Saccharomyces cerevisiae S288C: one gene and its partners. Changing the gene in region 3 together with the main gene of any one other region gives a genetic interaction. Each region holds a gene or a part of one and is shown on either strand. Other genes may lie near its edges. The genes, in order: ASM4, SRC1, POM152 and ARX1.

Evidence for each region.
Region 1: mutations in POM152 (region 3) and ASM4 together harm fitness more than expected from each alone (negative genetic interaction), as found in Saccharomyces cerevisiae (6 studies listed by BioGRID, with this or other methods).
Region 2: mutations in POM152 (region 3) and SRC1 together harm fitness more than expected from each alone (negative genetic interaction), as found in Saccharomyces cerevisiae (6 studies listed by BioGRID, with this or other methods).
Region 4: mutations in POM152 (region 3) and ARX1 together harm fitness more than expected from each alone (negative genetic interaction), as found in Saccharomyces cerevisiae (6 studies listed by BioGRID, with this or other methods).

The regions. Positions count from the first base shown.
Region 1 is NC_001136.10:296,361-303,731, forward strand, and holds ASM4 (FG-nucleoporin ASM4), read right to left. Parts: upstream 3,644-7,371; coding exon 2,057-3,643; downstream 1-2,056. Other genes in the region: NUR1 (Nur1p), read left to right, coding at 460-1,914; LUC7 (Luc7p), read right to left, coding at 3,854-4,639; YDL086W (carboxymethylenebutenolidase), read left to right, coding at 5,053-5,874; YDL085C-A (uncharacterized protein), read right to left, coding at 6,104-6,310; NADH-ubiquinone reductase (H(+)-translocating) NDE2, read left to right, coding at 6,851-7,371. UniProt on the Saccharomyces cerevisiae protein: Functions as a component of the nuclear pore complex (NPC).
Region 2 is NC_001145.3:206,302-214,718, reverse strand, and holds SRC1 (Src1p), read right to left. Parts: upstream 5,195-8,417; coding exon 3,275-5,194; intron 3,149-3,274; coding exon 2,564-3,148; downstream 1-2,563. Other genes in the region: NDC1 (Ndc1p), read right to left, coding at 1-530; recombinase RAD52, read left to right, coding at 789-2,204; AMD1 (AMP deaminase), read left to right, coding at 5,859-8,291. UniProt on the Saccharomyces cerevisiae protein: Plays a role in sister chromatid separation.
Region 3 is NC_001145.3:524,448-534,120, forward strand, and holds POM152 (Pom152p), read left to right. Parts: upstream 1-3,356; coding exon 3,357-7,370; downstream 7,371-9,673. Other genes in the region: ATP-dependent RNA helicase ECM16, read left to right, coding at 1-3,052; DPI35 (Dpi35p), read left to right, coding at 7,672-8,580; ribosome biosynthesis protein RRB1, read right to left, coding at 8,716-9,673. UniProt on the Saccharomyces cerevisiae protein: Functions as a component of the nuclear pore complex (NPC).
Region 4 is NC_001136.10:655,051-662,469, forward strand, and holds ARX1 (putative hydrolase), read right to left. Parts: upstream 2,418-7,419; coding exon 636-2,417; downstream 1-635. Other genes in the region: TVP15 (Tvp15p), read left to right, coding at 1-394; YDR102C (uncharacterized protein), read right to left, coding at 2,598-2,930; STE5 (Ste5p), read left to right, coding at 3,300-6,053; SPO71 (Spo71p), read right to left, coding at 6,123-7,419. UniProt on the Saccharomyces cerevisiae protein: Probable metalloprotease involved in proper assembly of pre-ribosomal particles during the biogenesis of the 60S ribosomal subunit. Accompanies the pre-60S particles to the cytoplasm.

The DNA of each region.
Region 1 (7,371 bases), on a different chromosome or scaffold from region 3:
TGCAGTTGTTTCTGCATAAGAACGGCGATGATATGGACCCTTGCTTGGTTTATCCTAGCCACTTTCGCGTGTTTCAGTTTCAAGCTTTCCTAATCAGGCAACAGCTTATACGAAAAGATTAATAAGTTACAATGTTAAACAGTTTCGCTTCAAGACCTCTAACGTTAGCCAGAAATAATAAGAATAGGTGGATTAAGTTACAAGTGTTTTTGTCCTCCTACTTAATCAGAACAGAGCACGGGAATAGTGATCTCTTTCAATAGCGAAAGGAGGGAAAAATAGCCCTGCAATATATAAAGGAAGAAGTTAACACCGTATTAAAAGGGGTGAGGCCGTTGGGACAAGTGGTAGTTTCCTTAAAGTCTGGTTTGATTGACAATATTTAGAAGTTAGTGAAACGAACAACCTAAAAAACTTTGTTGTGCAGTAGAGAGCTTTACATTTACCTTCGGCAGTAAAATGGGTTCAAATGATTTGATAAATGAAGCATATGACGACTCGGAAGTAGTTGGTGAGGAAAGAGAATCAAAATCTGCATGGATGAAGAGGTGGTATCAGCTACTTACTTCTCCTTTAGACTTGCAGTTGGTAATAAATGAAAAGTTAGAAATGATCAACTGGGATGCTTATGCTAAAAGTCTAGCTAAGCCATTAGGGAATTTTTTAACAATACTTTTTTTTATCATAAGACTCTTGCAGGACAATTTGATCAAGCCCAACTATTACAAACTAAACGTCAAGTCTGGCGCTTTCGATCTTTCTAAATCCAATAAATTAAAAGAGTTTGATTATCTATGGGAGATATCATCCAGCTTTCAAAACAATAATCAATTTTATGCATTTCAATCTTGGTATTTTGTTACCTTAAGGTTTTTGAATAATCTTTTCAGGTTTACTATTTTCATACTGCTGTCCCTGAACCTGTACGTAAGCTGTAAATTCATGTTTGGATACTTTAAGACTTACAATCTCTTCCATTTGAAAAAAGAGTTCAACTCCCCAAACCTCACTAAACACAACTTGAAGGATCTAAGCAAAGAATACTATGAAGATATTTATAAGCAGTCCTTGTGGTCTATGTTGAAGCATTTTTTCAGAGGATCTCGTGATGACGGTCCTCATGTTAATCAAAATGAAGATGAGATATTTTTTCAGTTAAGAAAATGGATCCCCACTAACTTCATGATTAATCTTTTTGTGTCTTTTTCACCAACGGCAATTGTTTTTTTAAGCTTTTCTGATGTTTCGTTTACTTCAGCAATTGCTATAGTATTCCATCAATATATTCTGGATTATATCATAACTAAGAGATTTCAAAGAAGCGTGGACGACGACTTGATTTTATCAAGTGCAGCTTTGCAAGAATATGAGGACAAGCATATAATGGCACGAATTAACCAATGCAGCAATATAGATACTCTATCATCTGCAATGGGTACTAGATCTAAAACACCGAGAATATTCACCACTCACTCCCTATGTGGCGAAGAAATCAGAGAGGTTTATAATTATGAAAAAAGGGAATTTGAGGCATTACCGAAAATGACAGAAAGTGTGCCAGGATCCCGTGAAACCAGAATAAAGGATTATGGAGGCATTTCTCAAGTATCTGACCATCAAAGTCATCCCATTGGTTTTCATTATTCTCCTAGAATGTCCCCATATTATAGGGATAAAGTTTTGGATAACAATTTGGCTCAATCATCGTCAAATGAAAATTTAGAGAAGGGCGGAGCTTACCTGCCGAATCAAGACCAAAATAGACCATCGAAATCCCTGAGCCCATTGAGAAAAACGCCTTTAAGCGCACGACAGAAAAGGTTTGAAGGCTCAGAGTTCAATGTATTGAATAAGAATGATATTAATTCCATTCTTCGCTCTCCAAAGAAAAAGAAGAACTATCACAAAAGATAACGTTTCTTAATTATGTCTAAGTATATACAGTTACGTAAAAATCAATAAACAAAAGTAAAACAATGCTGTTTGAAAAGTTATCAAAATAATAAATGTATGAAGTATTGTAAATGTTCATGAATAATTAGCTGGACGATTTCTGTTATAGGTCATTCCAACCAAATAACCAATTACTCAGTTTGTGCGTAAAACCAGCAGGTTCATTATTTCTGTATTTCGCTTCTTGCTGACGCATTTTCGATTCTAGGTTTCGCAACAGATTAGGAATATTCGAATTCGGTCCTGCATTTTGCATGAATGGCAATTTGCCATCTATTACATCCAGCCGCTTATTCGGAGAATTTGCTACTATTGGACTTGAAATATTTGTTGGATTACCAGCATGACCGGCAGGAGTATTATCGTCTTCCCTCAGAAGAGTGCCATCAGTTATTATTACGTTTGGTGGGGATGGTGTATTAGATGTCGACGATGTGGAGGAATTTTGATACATAGAAACGTTGAATTCTCCAATGTCGTCGACATTATCAATTTTGCAGCCAGCTAATTGCTCCACCGCATTTTTTGAATATGGGATGCAACCAATCAAAGAACCGCGAAATATGGTTCCATTTTCCTGCAGTGCTCTCAAAGCAGAAGATGGAGAATTATAAGTGAGTTTGACCCAACTTTCACCAGTAAATATTGGATATTTTTTGTTATTCGACTCATTATTTCTGCCTTTTAAAGTAATAGATTTATTAACAGTAGAATCGTTTTCATCACAGCCTGTATCATGATTATGGAATATTCTGAAGGTGTTGGGGTTAATCCCGCGACCCAATCGCAATACTTGAAAGTCTTCCATAATATGACCGAAATGGGAGAAGTGTTCAATCAATTCATTGGAAATTGATTCAGGATAGCCAAATACGATAATTGCGCTCAAACTAGAAGACTTGGAAGATGTTTCATGGACTTTATTGTTTGTTTCGGCGGTGTTGTAATTATTATCTAAATGGTTCTGTTCAATGTTTGCTATTCTAACATAAGAGTCTTTATCAAAAACATTTGGAGTATTTTTGGAATCATAAGCTGACCTATTTGTTTTCTTCGCCGTGTATTTGTCGGTAACAAACTGAGTTGTTAATGATGGAATAGAACCGAATTCATCCTCGCGTTGCCAATCCTGTAAAGTAACGGAGGGTGGAATATCGTTAAAATTTGACAACAGAGAATTGATGTCATTATTTGCCGCAGACTTATTTCTTTCATTATGCTTGGAATCTTGATTTTGCTTACTGAAATTTCTCATAGTAGCGTTCATAGAAGATGAATCATCATTCTGGTTGATGTCAGAAGAAGAATTTTGCTTTGTTGTCTTCCTTCTTATCACCGTATGAGGAGTGAATCTCTTTTTAGGATTATTCACCCAGCTAGGATTATTCCCTTGGCCATGTTGGCTTATGTTATTTGTGCCGTTTTTAATGTTGTTGTTGTTGATGCTATTGTTACCGATATTACTACTATAGTTATTGGCGTTTACAGTATTGGAAAGTGAGTTTCCAAATCGTAAAGAACTTGCATCGGATGATCCATTGAATTGCAAGTGTTGCTGCTGTTGTTGTGGTTGCGGTTGCGGTTGTGGCTGCAACTGTGATTGCGATTGAAACATCTGGGTTGTCTGTGGTGCTTGCGACGTGAGGTTAGTAAATCCACCGTTATTATTGCCTGAACGTATTCCAAACATTTTAATTTGCCGTTCCTTGTTTTCAGGTTACAGAGAAAAAAAAAAAAAGAGAGCGAATAAAAAACTTAAATAGATAGGGAAACGATATGTCTACCTTATCGGGAAATAAACTATGCAGAGGTATGTGTGTGATATTCACAAACCTTTCTTCTTTCATAAGTACTCTCCTTCGAACAAAATTTTTCTAGCATCATTTTTTTATGTATGGCCCTACACAAAGCGTCTTCCGGGTAGTGTAGTAGCTGTCTTGCTGGCGTTAGTTGTCCGGTTATTCTTCATTAGCCGATCATAATCCTCTCTCATCTTGACATATCCCAGATGAATCTTCCCCAAGAAGTGGTCAGCAAGCCTTCTGTCTGTATCTAAACGCGATAGGTATGCCCCACACACCTCGCAAACCTGTAACTTTTGCTGGGCGCTCTGGCCCACGTTTTCTGTAATGTTTCGTACACGTTTTGCAACTTCTTTCCTTTTACTAATCAGTTCTTGTAATTTGACTGACTGTAGCATACCCATACTGACTTCATCTGCACGAATTAAAGAATCAATCTCTTGTCCCATTAGGCCTATCCGCACGTCCAAGACATCTAGTTCTTCGGTAACCTGCTGAATCTTCATTCGTTCCTCAGCGGTGTGTTTTAGATTTTGTAGTGCTACGGATATCTGGCCATTACACTCATTAACAAACCGAGATAGAATGGCCAGATATTCTCTTTCGAATTCGGGAAACGTTTTGCCCTGCTTGACCTCTCTCTCGTACTGAATTTTATGCTTGGTAAGATGCATCTGCGGGCATTTTCCCAGGCTCTGCTTGGTGCCCTGAAACAGGTCGTAGGGGCACTCGCCAACAAGGTATGACTTGCAGATCTTGGGATCGTGTAGTCCGAGGTCTCTTTTTTGATGCGAATACCTGTTGTGGCGGAAACTGAAGTCCCTGCCCATCAGCTGTTCGACGAGTTTGCGTTGTTCTGCGGCAGGCGTTGACATAGTTGACATTCTGACGGTAGTTGGCAGCTTTCTGCTGGGAGTGTAGAGCCTTTTGTAGTATAACTTTTTGTTCTTTTCTTTCTTCTCTAATGCCTGAGGCTTCGGCGGTTATTCGGGTAATACATTAAGGAAGTTGCCATGATGTGGAAGAATACGACTAGTCAGTTAGCGATGGCCAGCTCCTTTACCTAAATCATGTGGCCTATCTTCAGATAGCATACTACCACCAACCATCAATACCTCAATGGCTTTCAACAAGTACCCTTCGTCGGGTTTTCAGCTTTTTTCCTACTTTGCTGGATGCTTTGTGAAGATCAGGAAGAAATTTTATCGGAAAAACCTCACTAGGAGAAACTATATAAAAGAAGGGTCAGACTGAAAATGACGCCGTAATAAACTCGTGGTAGTAGATAAAGCAAACAATGTTGATTACTGAGACCTTTCATGATGTGCAGACATCATACGGCACCACTCTGCGTATATACGTATATTCTCCTAAGATTGCAGGCTATCCACAAGCTAAGTTTCCTGGGGTGATTCTGTACAGTGAAATTTACCAAGTGACGGGTCCGGTTCGTCGTTTTGGTCAAAGAATTGCGTCTGAAGGTTACGTTGTGGTGGCACCTGCCATATACCACAACTTTATGGGCCCTGAAGCGTTGCCCTATGACGTGCAGGGTACCGATATTGGTAACGAGTACAAGATCAAGAAGCCGTTAGAATCATACGATGAGGACAACAAACTGTGTTGCGATCTACTTTTCCAGTTACCCCAATTCGATGGTAAGAGAATTGGTTCCACAGGAATGTGTTTAGGTGGCCATTTGGCTTTTAGAGCGCTCCTGGACAAAAGGGTTACCTGCGCAACCTGCTTCTTCCCTACCGACATCCATTCCAGAACCTTAGGTCTTGGCCAGAACGATAACTCTTTGGAACGTGTTTCGAAGGAGTTGGGTAATAACCAAGAAATGGTTTTGATCTTCGGAACTGCGGACACCCATGTCGACCCGCAAGGCCGCGATCTAATCAGAAAGACCCTCAGAGACCACGGAGTAAAGTTTACGTTCTTGGAAATCCTGGCTGCCCAGCATGCGTTCATCCGTGACGAGTTCAGCAAGGGCAGGTTCGACTCCGCTATCACTCAAAGTTGTCTCGGCTTCTTGTTCGAGCAGTTCAACAGAAAATTGAGAATCGATTTGGGTGAATTTGTCGATGACAATACACCTTTGGAGCACGTTTGTTAAGATCTTCACTCTGTACACGCTATATACTAAATAACAATAAGAAAAAGAAAAAGAAGCACAATATAGGAAAGCGTTCTAATTAACTAAAGAAAAAAAAAAAATAAAAAAAAAATAAAAAAAAGGTAACTAAAAAGGACAAAAAACATAACAGCTGTTTATAAAGTACTTTATACGTAAGAAACTACTGGCACTATTCATTCCAATAAAAGGACAGGTATAAAGTGTCTGCTTATCTTCTCGTCTTTTCGGCTTTTAACTTCTCAAGCTTTTCAGCCTCTCTTCTAGCATCTGCGGCGGCCTGCTTTTGTCTCAAGATTTCGGCGTCTGACTCCATTCTTTTCTTAGGATCACCACTCTTTTTCTGGTTCTTAGCCATGTCCTTTTGTTTTTTCAAGTTTTTTTGTCTTGCCAAGTCTCTTTGATTACCTCTAGCCATTGTTAAAGATGTATCGTCTTGCGACGTAATTTGTTGCTCTGTGTAGTATTGATCTTGTTGGTATTGCTAGAAATGCTTCAGCAATACTGTATAAAATATGGAAACGTTGCCATGGCAAGACAAAAGAAGTGATCTTGAGTGAAATAATAGAGCCCGGATGGCCGGGTAAATTCAACCGCTCGTACCGTTTATAATACGCATAAACGCCGAAAATGTCTCTATTTTAGTCATTCCCCAGAGTGCGGTATTGCGTACACCTGTCATGCGTTCCTTAGTGCCGATAGATATACTAATATCGATGCGTCACAGTAGCAGATCATCTCTGACACTTGTTTCCCCATTTTTTTTTTTCATTTTTTAAAGGGTTTCTCTACAGCCTACAGGCCTCCCCTAATAAGTCAGCCCCTCCCTTTGGAGTGCGCTGTTGACCTGCGTATATAAGAGGTATATCAGTGCCAGTAGGTAAACCCATCTTGCGGGGATTGTACCAGGAACATAGTAGAAAGACAAAAACAACCACCGTACTTGCCATTCGTATAGATGCTGCCCAGACTTGGTTTTGCGAGGACTGCTAGGTCCATACACCGTTTCAAGATGACCCAGATCTCTAAACCTTTTTTCCATTCCACTGAAGTTGGTAAGCCCGGACCACAGCAGAAGCTATCGAAATCTTACACTGCGGTATTCAAGAAATGGTTTGTCAGAGGTTTAAAGTTAACCTTTTACACGACGTTGGCCGGCACATTGTATGTGTCATACGAGCTGTACAAAGAATCGAACCCACCCAAACAGGTTCCCCAATCGACCGCTTTTGCTAATGGTTTGAAAAAGAAGGAGCTGGTTATTTTGGGTACAGGCTGGGGCGCCATATCTCTTTTGAAGAAATTAGACACGTCTTTGTATAACGTGACCGTGGTGTCGCCAAGAAGCTTCTTTTTGTTCACACCGTTATTACCCTCAACGCCTGTGGGTACGATAGAGATGAAGTCTATTGTCGAACCGGTTAGATCGATCGCTAGAAGAACGCCTGGAGAAGTTCACTACATTGAGGCGGAAGCGTT
Region 2 (8,417 bases), 320 kb from region 3:
TGTGGGGCCTGGAAAAAGTTTTCGCAGTTGAACGACAATTTGTCAGCGTCAGTGACATGATGTTGTAGGTTGTAAATCGTGGGAACGACTAGCCAAATAAACAGCTTATAGTATGGCTTCCATCCAGATCCGCCACGTCCGAAAACCACACCCAGTACGAATGATAAAAGGATGCTGCCCATGCTATAGACTCCCTGGTATACAAGAAACTTTACTGATAACAATTGGCCTAGAATGAAAGTAAGTGAATTAGCGAACCCAAAATTCTTTACATGCATGTAATTTTTTCTTGTCACAATGATCAAAAGGGAAACTAGGTTAAGAGCTAAAATATTGGGAATAAATGCCAATGCCAGTTCCCATAACGGTGAGTGTGGCAACGCCAGCAGTGAAATCACCACAGTTTGGATAATAGAACATATGAAAAACAACCTCGTAACTAAATGGTTGAATCGGGTCTTGCACACGTCGCTAAAGATGGTATGGTACGTGTACCGTGGATTCAACAACTCCCTTGGCGTCTGTATCATCTGCTTGCCCTGTAATGTCCTTTCGTCTTCTCAATCACACTTACTCATCGCCAAAGAGTCTGCTCTTCCCGTTAGTGATTCTCGATGTTATTATATTCTTTAGTCTGTTAAGAAAAGACGAAAAATATAGCGGCGGGCGGGTTACGCGACCGGTATCGAATGGCGTTTTTAAGCTATTTTGCCACTGAGAATCAACAAATGCAAACAAGGAGGTTGCCAAGAACTGCTGAAGGTTCTGGTGGCTTTGGTGTGTTGTTGATGAATGAAATTATGGATATGGATGAGAAGAAGCCCGTTTTCGGTAACCATTCCGAGGACATACAGACCAAATTGGACAAGAAATTAGGACCTGAGTATATCTCCAAGAGAGTTGGGTTTGGAACAAGCAGGATTGCATACATCGAAGGTTGGAGAGTAATTAATCTTGCTAATCAAATCTTTGGATATAATGGCTGGTCTACGGAGGTAAAAAGTGTAGTTATCGATTTTTTGGATGAGCGACAGGGAAAGTTTAGCATAGGGTGTACTGCAATTGTTCGTGTTACGTTGACTAGCGGGACTTATAGGGAAGATATTGGGTATGGTACCGTGGAGAACGAAAGACGGAAACCTGCCGCTTTCGAAAGGGCCAAGAAATCTGCCGTTACGGATGCCTTGAAAAGATCTTTGAGAGGGTTTGGTAATGCTCTAGGAAATTGTCTTTACGATAAAGATTTTCTGGCAAAGATCGATAAGGTGAAGTTCGATCCGCCAGATTTTGACGAAAACAATTTGTTTAGGCCAACGGATGAAATCAGCGAAAGCTCAAGAACGAATACTTTGCATGAAAATCAAGAACAACAACAATACCCGAATAAAAGAAGGCAATTGACTAAAGTTACAAATACCAATCCCGACTCGACGAAGAACCTGGTGAAAATAGAAAATACAGTAAGTCGAGGTACCCCAATGATGGCCGCACCTGCTGAGGCTAACAGTAAAAACAGCAGTAATAAAGATACTGATCTCAAATCTCTCGATGCTTCCAAACAGGATCAAGATGACCTTCTCGATGATTCTCTTATGTTTAGCGATGATTTTCAAGACGACGACTTGATAAATATGGGCAACACAAACAGTAATGTTTTAACGACAGAGAAGGATCCCGTTGTAGCTAAGCAAAGCCCAACTGCTAGCTCAAACCCAGAGGCAGAACAAATCACCTTTGTTACAGCTAAGGCTGCAACTTCCGTACAAAATGAACGTTATATTGGTGAAGAGAGCATTTTTGATCCCAAATACCAGGCACAATCCATTAGGCACACCGTTGATCAGACTACGTCCAAGCATATTCCAGCGAGTGTGCTAAAAGACAAAACGATGACCACCGCGAGGGATTCTGTCTATGAAAAATTTGCACCAAAGGGAAAACAATTGAGCATGAAGAACAATGATAAAGAACTGGGGCCTCATATGCTAGAAGGGGCTGGGAATCAAGTACCGCGTGAAACCACACCAATTAAAACGAACGCTACAGCTTTTCCGCCTGCAGCTGCTCCACGGTTTGCGCCGCCTTCTAAGGTAGTACATCCTAATGGAAATGGTGCAGTGCCAGCCGTTCCGCAACAAAGATCGACACGAAGAGAAGTTGGAAGACCAAAGATCAATCCCCTGCATGCACGCAAGCCTACTTGAAACGCTTCCTGGCCGAAACAAATAAAAAATTTGCATCATTATTTATTACTCCAAAATCCTCTAGTTACTCTTTCAATTCTGATTTTATTTGTATTTCTTCCTATATCGTCTAGTTTTTCTTTCCTCCATGTGTCGTATTAATATTTACTTTAAATCGAATAAAAAATTCTTATTATTTTACAAGTCATTTTCAGGATTAGATTCATTATAACTTTACAAAAGTATTACATAAAGAATTATATAACAGATATTAGGATAACCGTATAAATAGAATAAACTATACAAATATGGCAACTCGGAAAAACAATAGATCATTAAGTTTGAGAAGAGAAAACTACGTTTGAGTTTCATTTTGTGGGTTATATTTTGTTTTCAGCGGAATCCTTAGGTTCATTGAGTTCCATCGGACCTATCCATTCCCAACATTTCATTATTTCACCTCGAATTTCAGTTAAGTTCGATTTAATATTACTGTTATTATGCTCTAAATATTTTACCACTTCTGACCATAATTGATTTTTGTATTTCAGATCGACAATATCAGAAAGAAAGATGTCACGCAATTGAACTATGCTCAAATACGCGTTTTCTTTCGGATCGGACATTGATTTAATCTTTTGGAATTTCAATTTTTCCATGGTTTGAGTAACGAGTTCTTCAATTCTTGCCTTCTTTCTATAATAATTCTTCAGCTTGATCTCGATTACTTTACTAATGACTATCAGTAAAAACATTAGCCATATTGGCCTTTGAAATTTTTTATACGTTTGGTAGATTTCTCTTTCAAATCGACACTTCATTCCAATGTATTTCTTGGACGTCGACCGAAAATTCCTCGTCTTGGAGATGAATTTTTCTGGAAGATGTCTCTTCTGTCTCGGAACGTCATTGGTTTTAATGATGTTGTTGGAATTTCCGCCAATGTTGTTGTCAGTGGGTGATAACTAGAGAAAATTAGGAAAAGATGTTAGTAAATAAATCAAAAACAAAAAAAAATTCAAAAAAAATTAAAACTGTTATCATATAATAACAGGTTTAATAATTTTTGTAAGATAATAAATTGTACTCACTTGCCTCCATAATATTTCTGGTTCTTCAGTTAAATCTTTGATAACTTGGATCCACAGGTCCTCAAATTCATCGTCGCGAATCCAAGGAGCTCTAGCCTCATTAAATATTTGATAGAGGGCATCTTCCGTCATACCACTCTCGATGTCGTCTTTTCCGTCACCGCATGAAATTTGTGCATTTTTGGCTCTCAGAAACTCTAAAGATTTTTCAACCACTTCGGAAACTAACTGCTGTTTTTTGTCGTCTTTAACACATTTGCCTTGTGCAGGAATAATTTCCAAAAAGTCAAGTCTAGATGGTGCTAACTTGTAATCTGGCTTACATTTAAGTTTCAAATAAGGATAACAAATACCATTGGGTGGACAAGGGATACATTTCGGTCTGTAGTCCTGCAACAAATTATCCAGTTTTTGAATAAACTCGAAGGAATTGCCACTAACTCGATGGGATGGTACTTCATGCCCACAGTAACCTATGAGCAGTCTTTGCTCTCTATACCAGAGGCCAAATAAGAGAGGAATAACAATGAATATGCAAAATAAAAATAGCGCCAGTAATGATTTGCTCAAAAATTTGAGTGCTCTTTTGAACTTATGCCTGTTCCCGACCTTCCCAGATCCTTGCTTAACATCAAATTCACTCCCATTTTCATGCTCTAATTGCTCATTTACTTCCTCTTGAAGTTCTTGCACTCTTGCTTCACACTTTTCGACGTCTTTCTCTGTGGGTAATTGGGGAGTCTCGATCCTTGTAGGCACTAAAACTTCATCTTCATCCGATACCAAGTTACTACTATCTGTATCTATCATTTCGACCACATTATTGCTGGTATTACCCATAGGCTGATGAGGACCTGGCGTGGTGATCTCTGGAAGCAAGGGTGCTTCCGACTCTGAGCCAGAGCCTTCGGACGAAAACAAAGACGGTGTTCTTTCACTCTGAGAAGGTTCTTGCTGTTCCACTTCTGGAACCAGTATTGTAGATGGTACCTCCTTTTGAGGCAATTTATCCGCAAATGAGGCAGAAACTTTTAACTTACTCAAGGGTGTGCTATGGCCTGTTCCATTGGCAGTTCCGAGCTCTTTTGGATTGTGTCGTATGTTCGGTACAAATGGATCATTTTCCGTACCGCTTGAAGTCAACGAATCGTTAAAATTATCCATGCTTACTGGCTTTCTATTTGTGTTCTTTATTGGTGTTTTGACGGAAAGTTTTCCTAAAATGGCAGAGCCATTTCCATGCTCTTGGTTCAAATCACTCGTCTTACGCTTTTTTGCCTTCTGGTAATCCTGTTCAATTTCTGAATCTGATGATAGGAGGTTCAAATGCTTATTATCGATTTTATTTTCCTTTGAATTAGATTCAGACCAGTCGTCAGAATCAGGGTCTTTCCTTTTCTTACGAGTATCGGAATTTTGCTGGAAATCATTGGTGTCTGATTTGTTGGAGCTTGATGTTATCACATCATCCTCTTCATCGTCCACTTCATCGGTATCCGTTCCACTAGGTACAATTAAAGGATCGTCTTTTTTATCATTGTCATCATCATCATCATCATCATCATCATCATCATTACTTACATCATCCAGTATTCTATTCTTCTTAAACTGTTTGGCCATGGGGGAAGCAGATTTCTCCCTGCGAGCTCGTCTACTTCTACGAGGGGAAGCTATAGATGGGGAAGATGAGGGACGGTCCATTTTCACAATACCTTCATCGCTGGGCCGAACGTTCAGATACATTTTCCGTAACTGCGGGATCTGCGGTTTAACCTTTTCATCGAACAGCCCCACCAGCGCATTTTTCCTAGCATTAGATGGGAAATCGACATTATTTTCTACCAATATCCTCCTCAAAGTCGCAACTTTCATTGAATTCGGATCAAAACCGTCCTCTAAATACTCCAAGTCACTATTCATCGCGGCACTAACTGAGTACTGCTACCGTTCTACTGTTTGTTGTTCTGGCCTCTACGTTCACTCCGTATGGTCTCAGTCTACTATTAATAATGACTGAGGACTATTTCTCTTCCATGTATTCCGCATAGTATATTGACAGCTATACAAGTAGATCGATGTCCAGATTAGCCACCACAAATTGAAACCAAAACAAAAACAAAGGGGGCTTCCTAAAACAGTAATTTTGAGGGCTCTTTAAAACCCTTGATTTCCGTTCAGGGTGATCAATATATATATCCTAGTTATTTTATAGATGCCCTAACTTTATTTTTAGGGCACGTGGGGGTCTTCTCTTTTCTTTTTTCATTCCTTTTTCATCTTTTTTTTGCGCCTGGCGATGATGAGAAAGGAGTTCTAGTAGCACAAGGTTTAAAGGATATTATCAAAAAATAGATAAATTTTAAAAAAAAAAAAAAGGCATCTCTTGACGACTTTTCTTCTCTCTCTCTACAGGCAGAATTAGCAGCGTTTCTCGTATACTAGTCAATTATCGGATATTAATAGTATTTTTATTATAGTCTCCCTGCTATAGCCAATTTTGATTCAGCAAAACTCGATTGAACTGCTAGTACGCCAGATTAATAAATTATATAACAAATAAAAAGGGGGCATTCTAAAAAAAATTATGGACAATCAGGCTACACAGAGGCTTAACGACCTTTCTCTAGAACCAGCTCCTTCACACGATGAACAAGATGGTTCAGGACTAGTCATTGACATAGATCAAAGAAAGATTGGTGATGAACAAGCTGGTGTCGTAGTGGATGATGAGACACCCCCCTTAGAGCAGCAAGATTCACACGAAAGTTTAGCTGCTGATTCTCGGAATGCTAATTTCTCGTATCACGAGAATCAGCAGTTGTTGGAAAATGGCACCAAACAGTTGGCCCTAGATGAGCATGATTCTCACTCTGCCATCTTGGAGCAACCATCGCATTCTACCAATTGTAGCTCTTCCAACATAGCAGCGATGAATAAGGGCCATGACTCGGCAGACCATGCATCTCAAAATTCCGGGGGTAAACCGAGGACCTTGTCTGCTAGTGCTCAGCATATCTTGCCAGAGACGCTCAAGTCATTTGCCGGCGCTCCGGTAGTGAATAAGCAGGTACGTACCTCTGCCTCCTATAAAATGGGAATGTTGGCTGATGATGCTTCACAGCAGTTTCTTGATGATCCCTCTTCCGAGTTGATTGACTTGTATTCCAAAGTGGCAGAGTGTAGAAATTTGAGAGCCAAATATCAGACCATATCTGTGCAAAACGATGATCAAAACCCAAAAAATAAGCCAGGCTGGGTAGTCTATCCACCACCACCTAAACCTTCATACAACTCAGACACTAAGACTGTTGTGCCAGTAACAAACAAGCCGGATGCGGAAGTTTTCGATTTTACGAAATGTGAAATTCCTGGTGAGGATCCAGATTGGGAATTTACCCTCAACGATGACGACTCGTACGTGGTACACAGATCAGGTAAGACGGATGAGTTAATTGCTCAAATCCCTACCCTTCGTGACTACTATCTGGATCTAGAAAAAATGATTTCCATCTCATCAGACGGTCCCGCTAAATCATTTGCTTATAGAAGGCTGCAATACCTAGAAGCACGCTGGAATCTTTACTATCTCTTGAACGAATATCAAGAAACTAGCGTTTCCAAAAGAAACCCACACAGGGATTTTTATAATGTTAGGAAAGTGGACACTCACGTTCACCATTCTGCTTGTATGAACCAAAAGCACTTATTACGTTTCATTAAACACAAATTGAGACATTCCAAAGATGAAAAGGTTATTTTCAGGGACGGGAAACTACTAACTTTAGACGAAGTATTCCGTTCTTTGCATTTGACTGGATATGATTTATCCATCGATACTTTAGATATGCATGCACATAAGGATACATTCCACAGATTCGATAAATTCAACTTAAAATATAACCCTATCGGTGAATCTCGTCTCAGAGAAATTTTTTTGAAGACAAACAACTACATCAAGGGTACCTACTTGGCTGACATTACCAAACAAGTCATATTCGATTTAGAGAATTCAAAATACCAAAACTGTGAGTATAGAATTTCTGTTTATGGCAGGTCTCTCGATGAATGGGATAAACTAGCTAGCTGGGTGATTGACAACAAAGTTATTTCCCATAATGTTCGTTGGTTAGTCCAAATTCCGAGGTTATATGATATTTACAAGAAAACTGGCATTGTTCAAAGCTTCCAGGACATCTGTAAGAATCTGTTTCAGCCACTATTTGAAGTGACCAAAAATCCTCAGTCTCATCCAAAATTGCATGTATTTTTACAGAGAGTAATTGGGTTTGATTCTGTCGATGATGAATCCAAGGTTGATCGCCGCTTTCATAGGAAATATCCCAAGCCATCACTCTGGGAGGCTCCTCAAAACCCTCCTTATTCCTATTACCTGTACTATTTGTATTCAAATGTCGCGTCTTTGAATCAATGGAGGGCTAAGAGAGGGTTTAACACTTTGGTTTTGAGACCACATTGTGGTGAAGCCGGTGACCCCGAGCATCTCGTTTCAGCATATCTATTGGCACATGGTATATCACATGGTATTTTATTGAGGAAAGTTCCATTTGTTCAATACTTATACTATTTAGATCAGGTTGGTATCGCAATGTCACCCCTTTCTAATAACGCATTATTTTTGACCTATGATAAAAACCCATTTCCGAGATACTTTAAAAGAGGTTTGAATGTCTCACTATCCACAGATGATCCTTTACAATTCTCATATACCAGAGAACCATTAATCGAAGAATACTCAGTTGCAGCACAAATTTATAAATTGTCTAATGTAGATATGTGTGAATTGGCAAGAAATTCCGTGTTGCAAAGTGGGTGGGAAGCACAAATCAAAAAACATTGGATAGGGAAAGATTTTGACAAGAGTGGTGTTGAAGGTAACGATGTGGTTAGAACAAATGTTCCTGATATTAGAATTAACTACAGATACGATACATTATCAACTGAACTGGAATTAGTTAATCATTTTGCCAATTTCAAGAGAACCATTGAAGAAAAGTGATGGTTATACGCGCACATGTATATAAGGAGAACTTTTGGCAGTTCGATACACTGACTTCACGGAGAACAAATAATACTAATCTGAAAAATAATCAAAGAATTTTTTTTATAATTTTATCGTTAGATA
Region 3 (9,673 bases):
AGTAGAAATGGAAGAATTGAAGAAGCATGGGAAAGAAGATGAAATGGATTTCGACACGACATCTGAAGATGATGACGAAGAGGAGGATCAGGAAGAAGAAGACAAAATGCATCCTAGTGAAAACCCACTCGAAGAAGTTGAAAGCGCAGATAGTGAAACTGGCTCAGAAAAATTTGACCAAAATGATGTTGCTAACGAATTCAAGGATTGGGCCAATCAAGAAATAAAAAAATTGGAAGGTAGAGATCAAGAGCTAGTTACTCCCACTTTGAACATCGATTATAAACCGATAATTAGAAAGGAAGATTTAGATGATGGTCTCCAAGAAGCTTATGTTCCAATAAACGAGAATTCCACCCGTAAAGCCTTCTATGTTGAAGTTAGCAGATCAGATGAAATTCAGAAAGCAAGAATTCAACTACCAGTATTTGGTGAAGAACACAAAATTATGGAGGCTATTCACCATAATGATGTAGTGATTATTTGTGGTGAAACGGGGTCAGGTAAGACTACACAAGTCCCACAATTTTTATATGAGGCTGGGTTTGGTGCCGAAGATTCTCCAGATTACCCAGGAATGGTGGGTATCACTCAACCAAGAAGAGTGGCCGCTGTGTCCATGGCTGAACGTGTAGCTAATGAATTGGGGGACCATGGTCATAAAGTAGGATACCAAATTAGGTTTGACTCTACCGCAAAGGAGGACACAAAGGTCAAGTTTATGACAGATGGTGTCTTGCTACGAGAAATGATGCACGATTTCAAGTTGACTAAATATTCCTCCATTATCATAGATGAAGCACATGAAAGAAACATTAACACTGATATTTTGATCGGTATGCTTAGCCGTTGTGTTCGGTTAAGAGCTAAACTACATAAGGAGAACCCGATCGAGCACAAGAAGCTAAAACTCATCATCATGTCAGCTACATTAAGGGTATCAGATTTCAGCGAAAACAAAACATTGTTCCCCATAGCGCCCCCTGTCTTACAGGTTGATGCAAGGCAGTTTCCAGTCTCTATTCACTTTAATCGTAGAACTGCATTCAACTATACAGACGAGGCTTTCAGAAAGACTTGCAAAATTCACCAGAAACTTCCTCCTGGCGCTATATTGGTGTTTTTAACCGGTCAGCAGGAAATTACACACATGGTAAAAAGGCTAAGAAAGGAATTTCCTTTTAAGAAAAACTCCAAGTACAACAAAGATTTAGAAACACCCGTTTCTAAAATGGGTATCAATTCAAAAACAACAGATTTGGAGGCTGAGGATATAGACTTCAGTGTACAAGTTATCGATCAAGATAAGTTCAAGAGCGCGATAAGATACGAAGAAGATGAAGGTAACAGTGGAAACGGTGAAGATGAGGAAGACGAAGAGGAAGAAGGGTTTGAAGAAGTCCTAACTGAAGGGCAAACAGCTAACGATCCTTTATATGTCCTTCCACTGTATTCTCTATTACCAACCAAGGAACAAATGAGAGTCTTTCAAAAACCTCCTCAAGGTTCTAGGCTTTGTATTGTTGCAACAAATGTTGCAGAAACATCGTTAACTATACCTGGAGTTAGATATGTTGTTGATTCCGGGAGGTCTAAAGAGCGTAAATATAATGAATCAAATGGCGTACAGAGTTTTGAAGTGGGCTGGGTAAGTAAAGCTAGTGCCAATCAAAGAAGCGGTAGAGCAGGTCGTACTGGACCAGGCCATTGTTACCGTTTATATTCGTCTGCTGTTTTTGAACATGATTTCGAACAGTTCTCTAAACCTGAAATCTTAAGAATGCCAGTGGAGAGCATCGTGTTACAAATGAAGAGCATGGCCATTCATAATATCATTAATTTTCCATTTCCAACTCCTCCAGATAGAGTTGCCCTTTCCAAGGCAATACAATTACTGCAATATTTAGGTGCTCTTGATAATAAGGAGATGATTACTGAAGATGGTAAAAAAATGAGCCTGTTCCCACTTTCACCCAGATTTTCCAAAATGTTACTTGTTTCTGACGAAAAAGCCTGCCTTCCTTATATTGTAGCAATTGTTAGTGCCCTTTCGGTGGGAGATCCTTTTATCAATGAATTTGAGTTGGGAATAAACGAAATTTCTAGAAAACCAAATCCAGATGAAAATCTAGATGATAAGATTAGAGAGCACGATGAATCAACACCAGGTATGGATCCTGAACTGAAAAAGGAATTGCGCAGTAAATTCTATAAAAGCAGGAGTCAGTTTAGTAAATTAGACAAATTTAGTGACGTATTCCGTTTATTAAGTGTTGTAAGTGCAATGGACTACGTTCCAAAGGAACAAAAAGAAATATTCATGAAGAAAAATTTTTTAAGAGGCAAACTAATGGAAGAAATAGTAAAATTGAGGAAGCAGTTAATGTATATCATCAAGTCCAACACTTCAAAAGAAAATATTGCCGTAGTAATTAGGAATGAAGACTTGAAAAGTGATATTCCAAGCGTCATACAAATAAAACTTTTAAAACAAATGATTTGCGCTGGTTTTGTCGACCATGTTGCCGTAAGAGCAGATGTTTTATTTCCAGATGATGCTAAGATAACCAACAGAACTTCCATAATCAACATTCCTTATATTCCTGTTTTGGCCACGAGAACACCAAATATCGAGGACTGCTTTGTCTATATCCATCCGACTTCAATTTTAAATAATTTGGGGGAAATGCCACCCAAATACATGCTCTATTATTCCTTGCACCTTGGTGGAAATAATAAAACAAGGATGAATACTTTATGTGACATCGCAAGCACCCCCTTAGCGAACATAGCAAGAAAGGGACTTCTTTTGACATACAGTAAACCTCTGACTGGTCAAGGCTTGAAGACCGTTAATTTATCACCTACGGAACGGTATTGTTATGTGGTTCCTAGATTTGGATCCACAGTTGACAACGATCTCAAGATTGGTTGGGATTTAAATCCTATAGCAGTGCATCAGAAGAAGCAAAAAGGCCAGTGGACAGTCATTAAGTTTATCACCAGAAAGGGCTTCCAGACCATCACAGGTGAAGAGAAAGAAAAAAAATAATGCGCTGGTATTATAGAAATAGAGTTTCATTATATAAGAACATATAGGAAGAATACATTATTCCTATCTAGGGCATCAAATAATTGCAACCACTTAATGTTAACTTCCTTCATAATTCAAAACATTATGTTCTATAGCACTATGTATTTTATGTCATTATATACGTAGTCAATAACTTTATACGTTTTTTTTATTGAACAAAAGTAAGAATTGCTTAAGACATAATAAGAGGAAACTCATCGAACCAATTCAAAACGGATTATAGATTTATCATACCAGATACGTTTATCAGGAGGCTTGTATAATGGAGCACAGATATAACGTGTTTAATGATACTCCACGAGGGAACCATTGGATGGGCAGTTCTGTGTCAGGATCACCACGTCCATCTTATAGCAGTCGTCCTAATGTAAACACAACACGACGCTTCCAATATAGTGACGATGAGCCCGCTGAGAAAATCCGACCTTTACGCTCGAGGAGCTTTAAAAGTACTGAAAGTAACATAAGCGATGAAAAATCAAGGATATCTGAACGTGACAGCAAAGACCGCTACATTAATGGTGATAAAAAGGTAGACATTTATTCACTGCCTCTAATATCAACCGATGTTTTAGAAATTTCCAAACAAAGGACATTTGCGGTGATATTGTTTTTAATAATTCAATGTTATAAAATATATGACCTGGTAATACTTAAATCGGGGTTACCGCTTTCGGGTTTACTGTTTAAGAACTATCGATTTAATTTCATATCCAAGTATTTCATTATAGATTCCTTCTTCCTGTATGTTTTACCATCCTTTAACATTCCTAGGTTGACTTTTAAGCCATGGGTTGTTTATCTCCAGATTTTAGCTATGCTACTATTGAACATTTTCATATCAAGCGATCACGAGTTCGTTTTGATTTCATTAATTATGACCACATGGAGAAAACTTTATACGAAAGAATTAAGTGTAACAGGTTCAGCCATTAACCATCATCGTATTTTTGATTCTTCCGCTCATTTTAAGGGTGCTCTAACAATCAAGATCCTACCTGAAAACACAGCTATGTTTAATCCTCTTCATGAATCATATTGTTTGCCCATGGATACCAATCTTTTTAAAATTAACTCAATTGACGTACCCATCAGAATAAACTCAACTGAAGAGATTGAATATATCGAGTTGGAATATAGAGATCTTTACACAAATTCGGTAGAGTTACGGTCTTTGAGTAAGAAAGACTTCAAAATCATCGATAACCCCAAATCCTTTTTAAAAAAAGATCAGTCAGTTCTAAAGTCACATTCAAACGATTTTGAAGAAGGCAGTACAATTCGTTATTTGGCTGTAACTCTTCAAGATATTGGCTTTTATCAAATCAAAAAAATTGTTGATTCAAAAAAACTGAATTTAAAGATCCATCAGTCACACTTGGTTGTACCCTACTGTCCAATTGCATCTATTACTGGAACTGGAAGCAATGATAGATGTATTGGCGATTCAGATAATGTTTCTTTTGAAATTCAAGGTGTGCCCCCAATGAAATTAGCATACTCTAAGATCGTTAATGGTCAAACTTTTTCATATGTAGACTCCAGCTTGCAACCAGAATATTTTGAGTCTCCTTTGCAGTCAAGCAAATCCAAACAAAGTTTTACTCAAGGAGAACTAAACGATTTGAAATGGGGAAGAAACCAACCTGTTAATATTAATTTAGACTCTTCCATTACCCAGGACGGCAAATTTGCATATAAAATTGATAAAATAACTGATGGTCTGGGAAATGTCGTGGATTTTACATCTCTCCCTGAAGAATTAAAAAAGCGCTATGATCTATCTTATAATTTCAATGTTCATGAGGTTCCACGTGCAGCGCTAGAAGAAAGATTTGATCCAAAGTCACCCACAAAAAGGTCTATTGCCATCGTGTTTGAAGAAATCAAAAACTGGATTTCAGACATTCCATATGTTATTAGCCTATCCTATACTGATGCACAAGACAAGTCGAAAAAGATAATGAATGTTACTACAGATTCTTTGACCAAAGTGTTGCAAGCGGATCTTCCGGGGTCATATAACTTAGAATATATTGAATCTAAGTTTTGTCCAGGTGAAATTGTGGGTAAATCAAACGTTCTTGTAACTATGCCAGTTGCACCTACTATGGAAGTTAAATCATTTCCAATATTGGACCAGTGTGTGGGACAGGTTGGTCTAAACTTTGAACTATCTTTTACTGGGGCTCCACCATACTATTATAACACTAAAATCTATAAGCTTGAAAACGGTGAAAGAAAGTTATATGATGCAAAGAGATACACCTCTGAAGGTACGAGAAATCGCTTCAGCTATAGTCCACCTAAAGAAGGTAACTATGAAATCGTGTTTGATACTGTTTCTAATAAATTATTCACTGAACCAATCAAATTGGAACCTGTAAAAGAATATACTTTCAAGACATCAATGAGGGTGAAACCAAGCGCATCACTAAAATTACACCATGATTTGAAACTCTGTTTGGGTGACCACAGCAGTGTCCCAGTAGCACTAAAAGGCCAAGGCCCTTTTACGTTAACATATGATATCATTGAAACTTTTTCTAGCAAGAGGAAAACTTTTGAAATTAAAGAAATAAAAACCAACGAATATGTCATTAAAACACCAGTCTTTACTACTGGTGGTGATTATATTCTATCTTTGGTTTCTATCAAGGATTCTACCGGCTGTGTAGTTGGACTCAGCCAACCAGATGCTAAAATACAGGTGAGGAGAGATATTCCATCTGCTGCATTCAATTTTTTTGAACCTATCAAAGAAGCTAAAATTAAGCACGGTTCTGTCACTGAAATTCCGCTCAAATTAAGTGGAGAGGGGCCATTCACCGTTAAGTTTAAACACATGGATTACGATGGAAACATTGTGAAAGAATTTGAAAACAAATTTCAGAATAGTTATAAGCCCGCTTTGAAAGTAAGTAAAGAAGGGCTTTACCAATTGGTCGATATTCGTGACTCAAGTTGCCAAGGTAATGTGATTTACCGGAACAGTCTGTATAAGGTATCTTTCTTGGAGAAGCCAAAATTTGCAATTCAAGACAATCATCACATTACAAAAGTAACGGAAAATTTATTCTCTAAAGAAGAAGTCTGTCAAGGGATGGAAGGTACGGTTGATTTGGCTCTATTTGGTTCTCCACCATTCATATTAGAATATGATTTGATGGCACCCAACGGTCATATTTCTACAAAAAAAATTCAGGTGGCAACCAAATACGCTTCACTGAAACTGCCTAATCAAATTCCTGGAGAGTACATAACTACTATTAAGGCCATCTTCGATGGCAATTATGGTGAAAGCGACATACATTTTAGAGAACATCAGTCGGAGCTCATAATCAAACAGACAGTGCACCCCATTCCAGACGTCGCCTTTGCTGATGGTGGTAAAACCTTGCGTGCATGTGCTGCTAATGTAGATCAAATCTCATTTTTGGAACCAATAAATTTGAAATTTTTACAAGGCGAAAGCCCATTTTCAATCACCTTTAGCGTTTATCACGAGAGTACCAGTAGGACAGATCAGTATACCATTGACAACATTGACTCAGAGAACTTTTCATTTGAAAAGTTATATGAAGGGATGAAGTTAGGTAACCATGCCATTACTATTGATTCTGTTGTTGACGCAAATGGTTGTGTTAACAGCCTCATATCTGGACCGCGTAATCAAATTCTTGTGTCAATTACTGATGCACCAAAGATACATATATTAGATCCTTCTACCGAGTATTGTGTTGGGGACTATGTTGCATATCAATTAAACGGTGTGGCACCTTTCATGATTAAGTATGAATTCAACGGTATTCCACTAAAATCTAAGGAACGCAGCTCCCAATTTGTTAGATTAGCATCTGAACCGGGCATTATATCTATCACTTCTTTACAGGATTCATCATCACAATGCATTGTCGACTTTACGAACCCTAAATTAAAGAGTGAATTTGATGACTTATCTTTAAACATACATCCTATTCCTTCCGTAACTGTTTCTCAAGGAAATTACGTTACTGAGGATATCCGCGAAGGTGACCAGGCTGAAGTAATCTTTTCGTTTGAAGGTACCCCACCATTCTCACTAACTTATGTAAGGACAGAAGAGACTGATGGAAAACACGGCAAAAGGAGGTCGCAGGTTGTTGAGACGCATAAAGTCACTGATATATATTCTCATGAATACAAGGTAATTACAAGCTTGCAAGGTACCTACGAGGCGATTGAAATTACAGATGCTTATTGTTTTGCCAAAAATGATCTTTTTTTCAATAACTAAATATTACAAGAAAGTCTGATGAAATTTTTCTTTCCCGCAATATTTTTGTACAATTGTAATGTATAATATATCTCTGTACATCAGTATTAAAATACTTAAGAAAGCGAAAAAGACGCCTGTATTGTTTGTTGTTCTTTTTCTTCAAAATTATCAAGACGCTCGATTCAATTATCTTCGCTCATAGTAACTCGAAAGAGTGTAGGTGAATGAATAGAAAAAGAGAGCGCTGAGACCTTTGTCCTTTACGGTCTATAGAGGTGTGTTAAAAGCAGACTTTTGAACATCCACAGAAATTGGCTCAATGACCTATCCGAAAAGAATACCTATAAATGCGTGGTCTGAAGTTCATAGGGTGGCAAGGCCACTAATTATTACTTTCGACGCATATAATACACTATACGCCACAAAACTTCCCGTCATGGAACAATACTGCATTGTTGGGCGTAAATATGGTATCAAGGCGAATCCTTCGACTTTAACAAACAATTTTCCACACGTTTTTAAAAAACTGAAGGAAGACTATCCCCAATACGGAAAATATTCTGGTATCAAGCCCGAACAATGGTGGTCCATCTTGATTAGGAACGTCTTCGCACCAAACGAAATTCCCGATGAGATGATAAATGAAATATTAATGCGGTTTGAGGGCTTCGATTCGTATTTTGTTTATCCAGATTTGATCAAATTTTTAAAGGATTTGAAGTCAAGACATCCTGATGTTATCTTAGGAATAGTAAGCAATACTGATCCAATTTTTTACAAATTATTAAAGAATATCGGATTATTTGAGACATTTTCCGGTCACATTTATTTATCATATGAGCTTAATCTCGCCAAACCTGATAGAGCAATATTTCAATATGCGCTTGACGATATTATATCTAAACAACCTCATTTACTCGAAAAGTACACCAGGGAGGAAATTCTACAGCATTGCTTTCACATCGGAGATGAATTAAAGAACGATCTCGAAGGGGCAGAAGCTGCCGGTTGGACTGGTATACTGTTAGATAGAAATGATAAATACGGGTTTCTTTCAAACTCGATTAGTAAACCAATGCGGGACGAATACAAGCTGTCAATTGATAAAATAGATAATAATTCAATAAACACTTGGGAAGCCAATACTAAGCAAACTGACACGTTACAGTTGAGTGAAAGAAAGTACGTTGTTTCGAATCTTGAGGTTTTAGAGGAACTCTTTCCCTGAGCGCCTAACGTTACAGTAACAAATATGTATGATAGATATTATTCATATCCGCCAGTAATATTTACTATATCTTTGAATGGGTTTGTTTATTAATAATCTACTATGTGTAAATATATGATCCAAGTATTATACAGTTTAGACACTGATTGTTTTCCAGACGTTCAAACCGTCAGTACCGGTACTTACTAAACAACCTGGGATTTGCTTATGCCATTTGACATCTTTAACTTCCTTTTGCCAGTGAACAAACAATAATTGTGGTGGAATTTCTTGTAGCTCTTTTGTTTCGGCGGCCTGTTGTTTAATTTCCTCATCGTCAGCTTCTACAGACAAATCCCACAAAGTCACAGTATTATCTTCTGAGCCTACCGCAACGATAGACTCATCTAATGGGTTGAATGCAATGGAAGTAATGGCTCCCTTATGGAAGTCATATTGAGCAACCGGTTGGACGGCGTCAGCATTACTTGGCGTAAACTGTCTTAAATCCCATACTCCCCATGTACCGTTATCGTCACCGCTTGCTAGCAAGTAACCAATTTTATCACTCCAACTTATGACATTTACGTCAGTATTAGAAGCTTTAACAGAGATAGCAGGTTTATGTTTTTTTGATCTTGTGTCCCAAATCCTTATATATCCATCACATCCTGCGGTTGCAAAAACGGTGGATTCAGTGCGAGACCACTGGATATCTTCTATGGATTTATTGTTTGAAACAGTAAATGGTTGTTTATCAGTCACCCATCTCGATGTGTGCCTTTGGGTAAAATATATTTGTCCTGAGCAATCACCTGATAGTAACGCACCAGTCTTGATCAATGGTGACCAATCCAACCCGTAGCCTTCAACATTCCCATGATTTTTTACAGTGTGAATAGGACGCTTAGCAGACTTCGGAATCTGATAACCTGGTGTGGAAAAAGCTTTGCTTTGTGGAGCTAGATTGTATATATAAACATCACCATTTTCGCTCATTGTAGCGGTTAACACCTCTTGATTAGAAATGGCAAAAGGAGAAACCTTTAATCTATTGGTTGTATCTCTCAATGGTATATTTTCATTCTCAATGACTGGATCCACATCATCTTCA
Region 4 (7,419 bases), on a different chromosome or scaffold from region 3:
TATATCAATTGGCTGCATAGACATTATTGCTGCCCTTTCACAATTGACGTATATTTTCACCAATTTAAACGTCTTCCTCTTGGCAGTTTACGGACTGGCACTCTCCGTACCTATCGTCTATCTGGAGTTCAAGGTTCCGTCAAATCTTTACAGGTATGCTTCCTTTTACTTTAGTTTTCTTGGAAGGGGTTTATCTTATATTTTACTAAGTCTGATAATCAGCTTCGGCGGTATCTACAACATATTGGCGGGAATGTTTACTTTTATTTTAGGGGTTGCCTTTATTGTTTTTCATTTTTCCCAGTTTGTGGAAGAACCTGCTAACTTCAGAGCACCCGGCTCATCTTTGTCAATTGGTGATGATGACATCGACGATGACGATGACATGATTTAATATTAGAAGCCCATGTCTCTCAATCCGCCGGTGTTACAAAAGCATGGCGAAACAGGCGTGAGATATTTAATCTTCCATCTCATCTGTATAGCAAATAAAATGTAATTATAATGCAAGATTCTGAGCAAATGAACCAAGCGGTTTTAGTACAGCTAGGTTGACTTTTTTTATAATATTCTATTTTACATTTTATGATATACTTATATTATTTATATACTAGCTTTAGAAATGATGAAGTTTCCTACATTTTCATGGTTTCTTCAACTCCGCCATTTGATGTCTCAACACTCTTCTGCTTCATTGGCTGCGTTTCCTTTAATAATAGACCGAACCTCTTATCCTTGGCCAAAGTAGCTAATTGAAAGATCCCTTGAACAATTGAATCTTGTGGATTTAATTCGTGCTGAGAGTGAATCCAGCTCGGTTGACAGGTCTTAGAACCACCAGTTAATCTCAATAATTCGGGTCTGTCCGTTGTACTTACACTAGAGTCACATAATACGATGGTATTACATTCACGAGCAACTGGTAAAGAAATCGATTCCTTGGTTGAATTCATTAAGGATTTAAGCTTGATGGCTGAAACACCCAATTTTGGTAAAGGTAACTCATGCCCAGGTAATGTTAATGTAGAGGTTGCATCATAACTTAAATTACCGTTTGGATTGGTAGCCTTTAAAATATGGTCCCATGGAACCCATCTAGCAATTTGTATTGGACTTTCCACACATAAGTAGTTGTTGGAAATCTCACTCATCCCAAGTCTAAATGATTTCAAATCTTTCTTTAAGCTTTGGAGTTCTTCTTCATTTTCGTGAACGAAAGGAAAGTTAGAAGATAAATGAGATAACTTGAATGGATAAACGCCTTGTTTATCGATTTTAGTTAATAATTGTCTAGAAGTTTTTAATTTAAGAATATGGGTTTGAGCAAAATCTCTAACATATGCACCGGGTCTTGCAATCAATTCTCCAGCCTTATGAGATTTACCTGTGTAAGAGTCAACGGTTTCTAAAGTTACTAAACCCTTTTTGGTACAATGCTCCAAAGATGCCATTTTCAAATCAATTAAATACACTTCACCTGATTGAACAACGAAATCATCACTTGGAATAGCAGAAACATTAGTGAATGGAGTCGATTGTCCACGATCTACCACTGTTAAATCCTTGGCATCAGTATTAGATAGCAAATCTGCTTCTTGATGGGACTCTGTCCAAACAACACCCTTATATTCCCTTTCGGCAACAATACCTTCGTTTTGGCCTGCCAGGAATCTTCTAATCCTTCTTACACGAGAACCAGGAACAACGCCACAGTTATAAGATCTGGCAATAGTATCCACTATAGTTCTAATCAATTGGCCTGTGATACCACTTGAAGTTCCTCCCAGTGAGGCAGGAAGCTTTTCTGGAGTCAGAGCACAGGCTAATAAAGCAACAACTGTTTCCATAGCAATGTGAGCAGCAGCTACAGCATCCGCTTTACCACCTAGTAGTGGCCCAGTGGGTTGAAGAATAGGTTTGGTTTCATCAACGGGGTAAATAACCATAGTATGAGAAACTTCAGAGGTGTAACCATCAATATGAACACCTAGTGTAATCTTGACTAAATCCCCCGGTCTCAAAGTCCCAGTGACAGATGATGCAAAAGTGGAGTCTTTCCCCTTATTCCAGTTTAACAAATTTTGAGTATCATCTATTTCGGGGCACCATCCACCAGAAATTTGGTCGATATCAATAGTGGTTGGAATGGCAATACCTCTTTCATTAACTTTGTTTTTATAATATTGTTCCAACCGGGTCAAAATAAAAGAATCGGTAAGCAAACATAGCTCTGGCACGGTTAATTGGCGCTGTGTGGTCTTAGAGTGATATGAATCATTGATCAAAGAAGTAACATATTTCAAAGCAGTTTGTGCGATTTGTCCAGCAGTTCTGTATTTGTTCAAGACCGATTCCTGTAGAATATTTTTGTCCTTTAGCAAAATCTGAGTATCCTCGTGGGAGATAGCTAGAGCCATGATAGTTTTAGCAATATTAGTCGGGTCGGGTTTTTTCTTAAAAGTATTTTGAATAACACGATGCTTTAGCTCATCTCATCTCTTCTGCTGAAATTTTTCTTTACTTCGGTAAAATTTTTTCAGAAAGCAAAAAAAGCTTCACAGAGGCATGACCCTCTCCGGGTAAAAAAAAGCTTAGGGTTACCGGCCTGTCATTTTTAGGGCATTATCAATTTTTTGCCATCTAGTTGCAACTATAATAATACAGTATGAATTGCACGAAAGAGCAGTCAATGTAAATTCACGAAGTGACTGACAGAATACTGACATCAGCTGATTTCTCATAGAGCTGTTTCTCTGATAACACGTTGTTTGAACATCGACAAGATGAAAATCTAGAAGTATCAAGTTTCCTTTAAAGGGATATATAACAGATTCTAAAACTGACAGAAATATTTCGAGTGAAGAAGAAGCGTTAAATATTGGATCTTTCCGCAGTTCTACTCTGATACATTTTTGAAGTAGGAGAGTCATTTAGAAGGCGTATTGCTCAATAGTAGAAAGCAGGCCTGTGCACATGAATTAATTAAAAAATATAAAGGTAGTGATTAGACGACACATGTCCATAGGTAACCTGTCATAATTTTGAACAATTTCCCTTCTTTTCTTTTTTTTTTTTGGGTGCGGCGATATGTAGCTTGTTAATTTACACATCATGTACTTTTCTGCATCAAAATATGAAAGGCGATAGTAGCTAAAGAAAATACCGAGAATTTCCTCGAAAAGTTGACGACAAAAGAAAGGCATAAAAAAGTAATTTGAAAATATTTTAAAACTGTTTTAACCCATCTAGCATCCGCGCTAAAAAAGGAAGATACAGGATACAGCGGAAACAACTTTTAAATGATGGAAACTCCTACAGACAATATAGTTTCCCCTTTTCACAATTTTGGTAGCTCGACACAATATAGTGGTACCTTGTCGAGAACTCCCAACCAAATAATAGAGCTAGAGAAGCCCAGTACTCTATCCCCATTGTCAAGAGGAAAAAAATGGACGGAAAAGTTAGCCAGGTTCCAAAGAAGTAGTGCTAAAAAGAAAAGATTCTCACCTTCTCCTATTTCCTCCTCTACATTTTCGTTCTCACCCAAATCTAGGGTCACTTCTTCAAACTCTTCTGGCAATGAAGACGGTAACCTAATGAATACACCTTCTACGGTTTCCACTGATTATTTGCCACAACACCCTCACAGAACATCGTCTTTGCCAAGACCTAATTCCAATCTCTTTCACGCAAGTAATAGTAACCTATCCCGAGCAAATGAGCCCCCAAGGGCCGAAAATTTATCAGATAATATACCACCCAAGGTCGCTCCATTTGGCTATCCAATACAAAGAACCTCTATTAAAAAATCCTTTTTGAATGCTTCTTGTACGTTATGTGACGAGCCTATTTCTAACAGAAGAAAGGGAGAGAAAATTATAGAGCTTGCATGTGGCCACTTAAGTCACCAAGAATGTCTTATTATCTCTTTTGGCACCACTTCAAAGGCAGACGTTCGTGCGCTATTTCCTTTTTGTACCAAATGTAAAAAAGATACTAACAAAGCCGTTCAATGCATTCCAGAAAATGATGAACTAAAGGATATTCTAATTTCTGATTTTTTGATTCATAAGATTCCTGATTCTGAGTTATCAATCACACCTCAGTCCCGCTTTCCTCCTTATTCACCACTCTTGCCTCCTTTTGGGTTATCCTATACACCTGTTGAAAGACAAACGATATATTCTCAAGCTCCAAGTCTAAACCCAAATCTCATATTGGCTGCACCCCCCAAGGAAAGAAACCAAATTCCACAAAAAAAATCAAACTATACATTTTTACATTCACCCCTGGGGCACAGAAGAATTCCGTCCGGAGCAAACTCTATCTTAGCAGACACCTCTGTAGCGTTGTCAGCTAATGATTCTATTTCTGCTGTTTCCAATTCGGTAAGAGCAAAGGATGACGAAACCAAAACAACGTTGCCGCTGTTAAGGTCATATTTTATTCAAATTCTTTTGAACAATTTCCAGGAAGAATTGCAGGATTGGAGAATAGACGGGGACTATGGATTACTAAGGTTGGTAGACAAATTGATGATTTCCAAAGATGGTCAGAGATATATACAATGCTGGTGTTTCTTATTTGAAGACGCATTTGTAATAGCAGAAGTGGATAACGATGTTGATGTTTTGGAAATTAGACTAAAGAATTTAGAAGTATTTACACCTATTGCCAACTTGAGAATGACTACACTCGAAGCTTCAGTACTCAAATGCACCTTAAATAAACAACATTGCGCCGATTTATCAGATCTTTACATTGTTCAGAATATAAATTCTGACGAAAGCACAACTGTACAGAAATGGATATCAGGTATATTGAATCAGGATTTTGTATTCAATGAGGACAATATCACTTCGACCCTGCCTATTCTTCCCATTATAAAGAACTTTTCAAAAGATGTTGGTAATGGTAGGCACGAGACGAGTACCTTTCTAGGTTTAATCAATCCTAACAAAGTTGTTGAAGTTGGAAATGTGCACGATAATGATACTGTAATCATAAGGAGGGGATTCACCTTAAATTCAGGAGAATGTTCTAGGCAGAGTACTGTCGACAGTATACAATCTGTTCTAACCACGATAAGCTCAATTCTTTCCCTTAAACGAGAAAAACCTGATAATTTGGCAATAATCTTACAGATCGATTTTACGAAATTGAAGGAAGAAGACAGTTTAATTGTTGTTTATAACAGTCTAAAAGCTTTAACCATTAAATTTGCGCGTTTGCAGTTTTGTTTCGTTGATCGAAATAATTATGTTCTGGACTATGGATCGGTATTACACAAGATAGATTCACTAGATTCCATCTCAAATCTCAAATCAAAGAGTTCCTCGACACAATTTTCACCTATTTGGTTGAAAAATACTCTATATCCCGAAAATATTCATGAACATTTGGGTATTGTTGCTGTATCAAATAGTAATATGGAAGCAAAAAAATCCATACTATTTCAAGATTACAGATGCTTTACAAGTTTTGGAAGAAGAAGGCCCAATGAATTGAAGATTAAGGTGGGCTATTTGAACGTTGACTACAGTGATAAAATTGATGAACTAGTCGAGGCCAGCTCCTGGACTTTTGTTTTAGAAACTCTTTGCTACAGTTTCGGTCTAAGTTTTGATGAACATGATGACGATGACGAAGAGGATAATGATGATTCGACCGATAATGAACTTGATAATAGTTCAGGATCACTGTCGGATGCTGAATCTACAACTACTATTCATATTGATTCTCCATTTGATAATGAAAATGCTACCGCAAATATGGTGAATGACAGAAACCTTCTCACTGAGGGTGAACATAGCAATATAGAAAACTTAGAAACTGTCGCTTCTTCAGTACAGCCAGCTCTGATTCCTAATATTAGATTTTCACTTCATTCTGAGGAGGAAGGTACTAATGAAAATGAAAATGAAAATGATATGCCAGTATTATTACTTAGTGATATGGATAAAGGAATCGATGGCATAACCAGACGCAGTTCATTCTCGAGTCTTATAGAGAGCGGTAATAACAACTGTCCCCTCCATATGGATTATATATAGAGTATACACTAAATTTTATGCAATAATAAAAAGAAAGCATCCCGCCAAACGTTTCGTAACTACATATTGTTACATAGTTTGATTCCGTGAATTTGAAGTGGACGCAGTTCTTCTTAGTCTTTCAAGTTCATAGTAAATAGACATTACCCAAAGATCTCTTTCCTGTCTTGATCTTGCCATGAAAACCATTGACTTGCCGCTCACACCTAACTTTTTAGTGAAATGGATCTTATCTGTGTTACTTGGAACATTAGAGTTATTCAAGTCAGCTTCCGGAGCAGAAGGTGGGTCAATATTATTATCTTGTCTACCATAATCTTGCGTATATTGCTTTTCATTCCCTTTCTTCTGTAAGCGATTGCTAGAAAGGGCACGCCTTGTTCCAAACCAAAGCGTAAAGCATCGCGAACTCTCGTCTTCTACAGATCGCCATCCGTCCCCATAAACTCGTGGGAGAGCGTGGGATCCATAGTTTATTTCGTCAAAAGTACGATCTCTCTGCAGAAGGTCTAGTTCTGTTGTGGTCCCAGAGTATAGGTAGCAATCGTCAATCGGAATGGTTACATAATGAGCATACTCCAAAACTTCCTTAGCAAAACCTGTGGTTGATCTATGAAAGCAGTGGAACAGTACAATAAAACCTGATATCAAAACGACGTAGTACTTCGAGAAAACAGAATGCTTGTGCGGCTTTTGATATAAAGGTCCCTTTTGAATTAACGGCCTACTTAATGATATTCCATTTGCATTAAAGGTTTGCTCATCTGCACGCCCATGTTCTACGATCCAGCGCAATGTATTCTCACCAATTTTTGTTTCCTCTTCTCCATTTAGCATCAAAAGACCTGCATTTGAACGCCTTATTTTTAAAAGCCTCTCCGTATCTTCCCTTTGCTTGTTTTTCCAATAGGATATCATTTGTTTCAGCTTTATGACCCACTCTTCAGCAACTGTTGCTGATGTAGCAAGCAGCTTCAAGAGGAGTCCATTTGAGGTTTCTATATTTATTACGGACCGTGAAACATCATCAATCTCGTAGTTTCTATGCCAAAAGATTTCACTAGCTTCCTTGTAAACCCCATATTTTATTTTGTCTGCTTCGTAATCAGTCCTTGTTCCTTGATATATATCTTTCACCTCAGTTAGGTCAATCACATTGTCCGTTTTTAGTATTTGATCAATCCTTCTATGAAAACAATGGAAAGCATAGAAATCTCTGGAATCATATTCACTTTGGGTCGTTTGACAGTTCATCCACTCGATGTGATCATTTGTGTCTAAGGGATAAGGTTGTTGCTCGTAAACCTCTGGAATTTTCTTCCACTGTTTCCAAATTTCTTCTTTTTCTATTTCTGTGCTAGTGTCG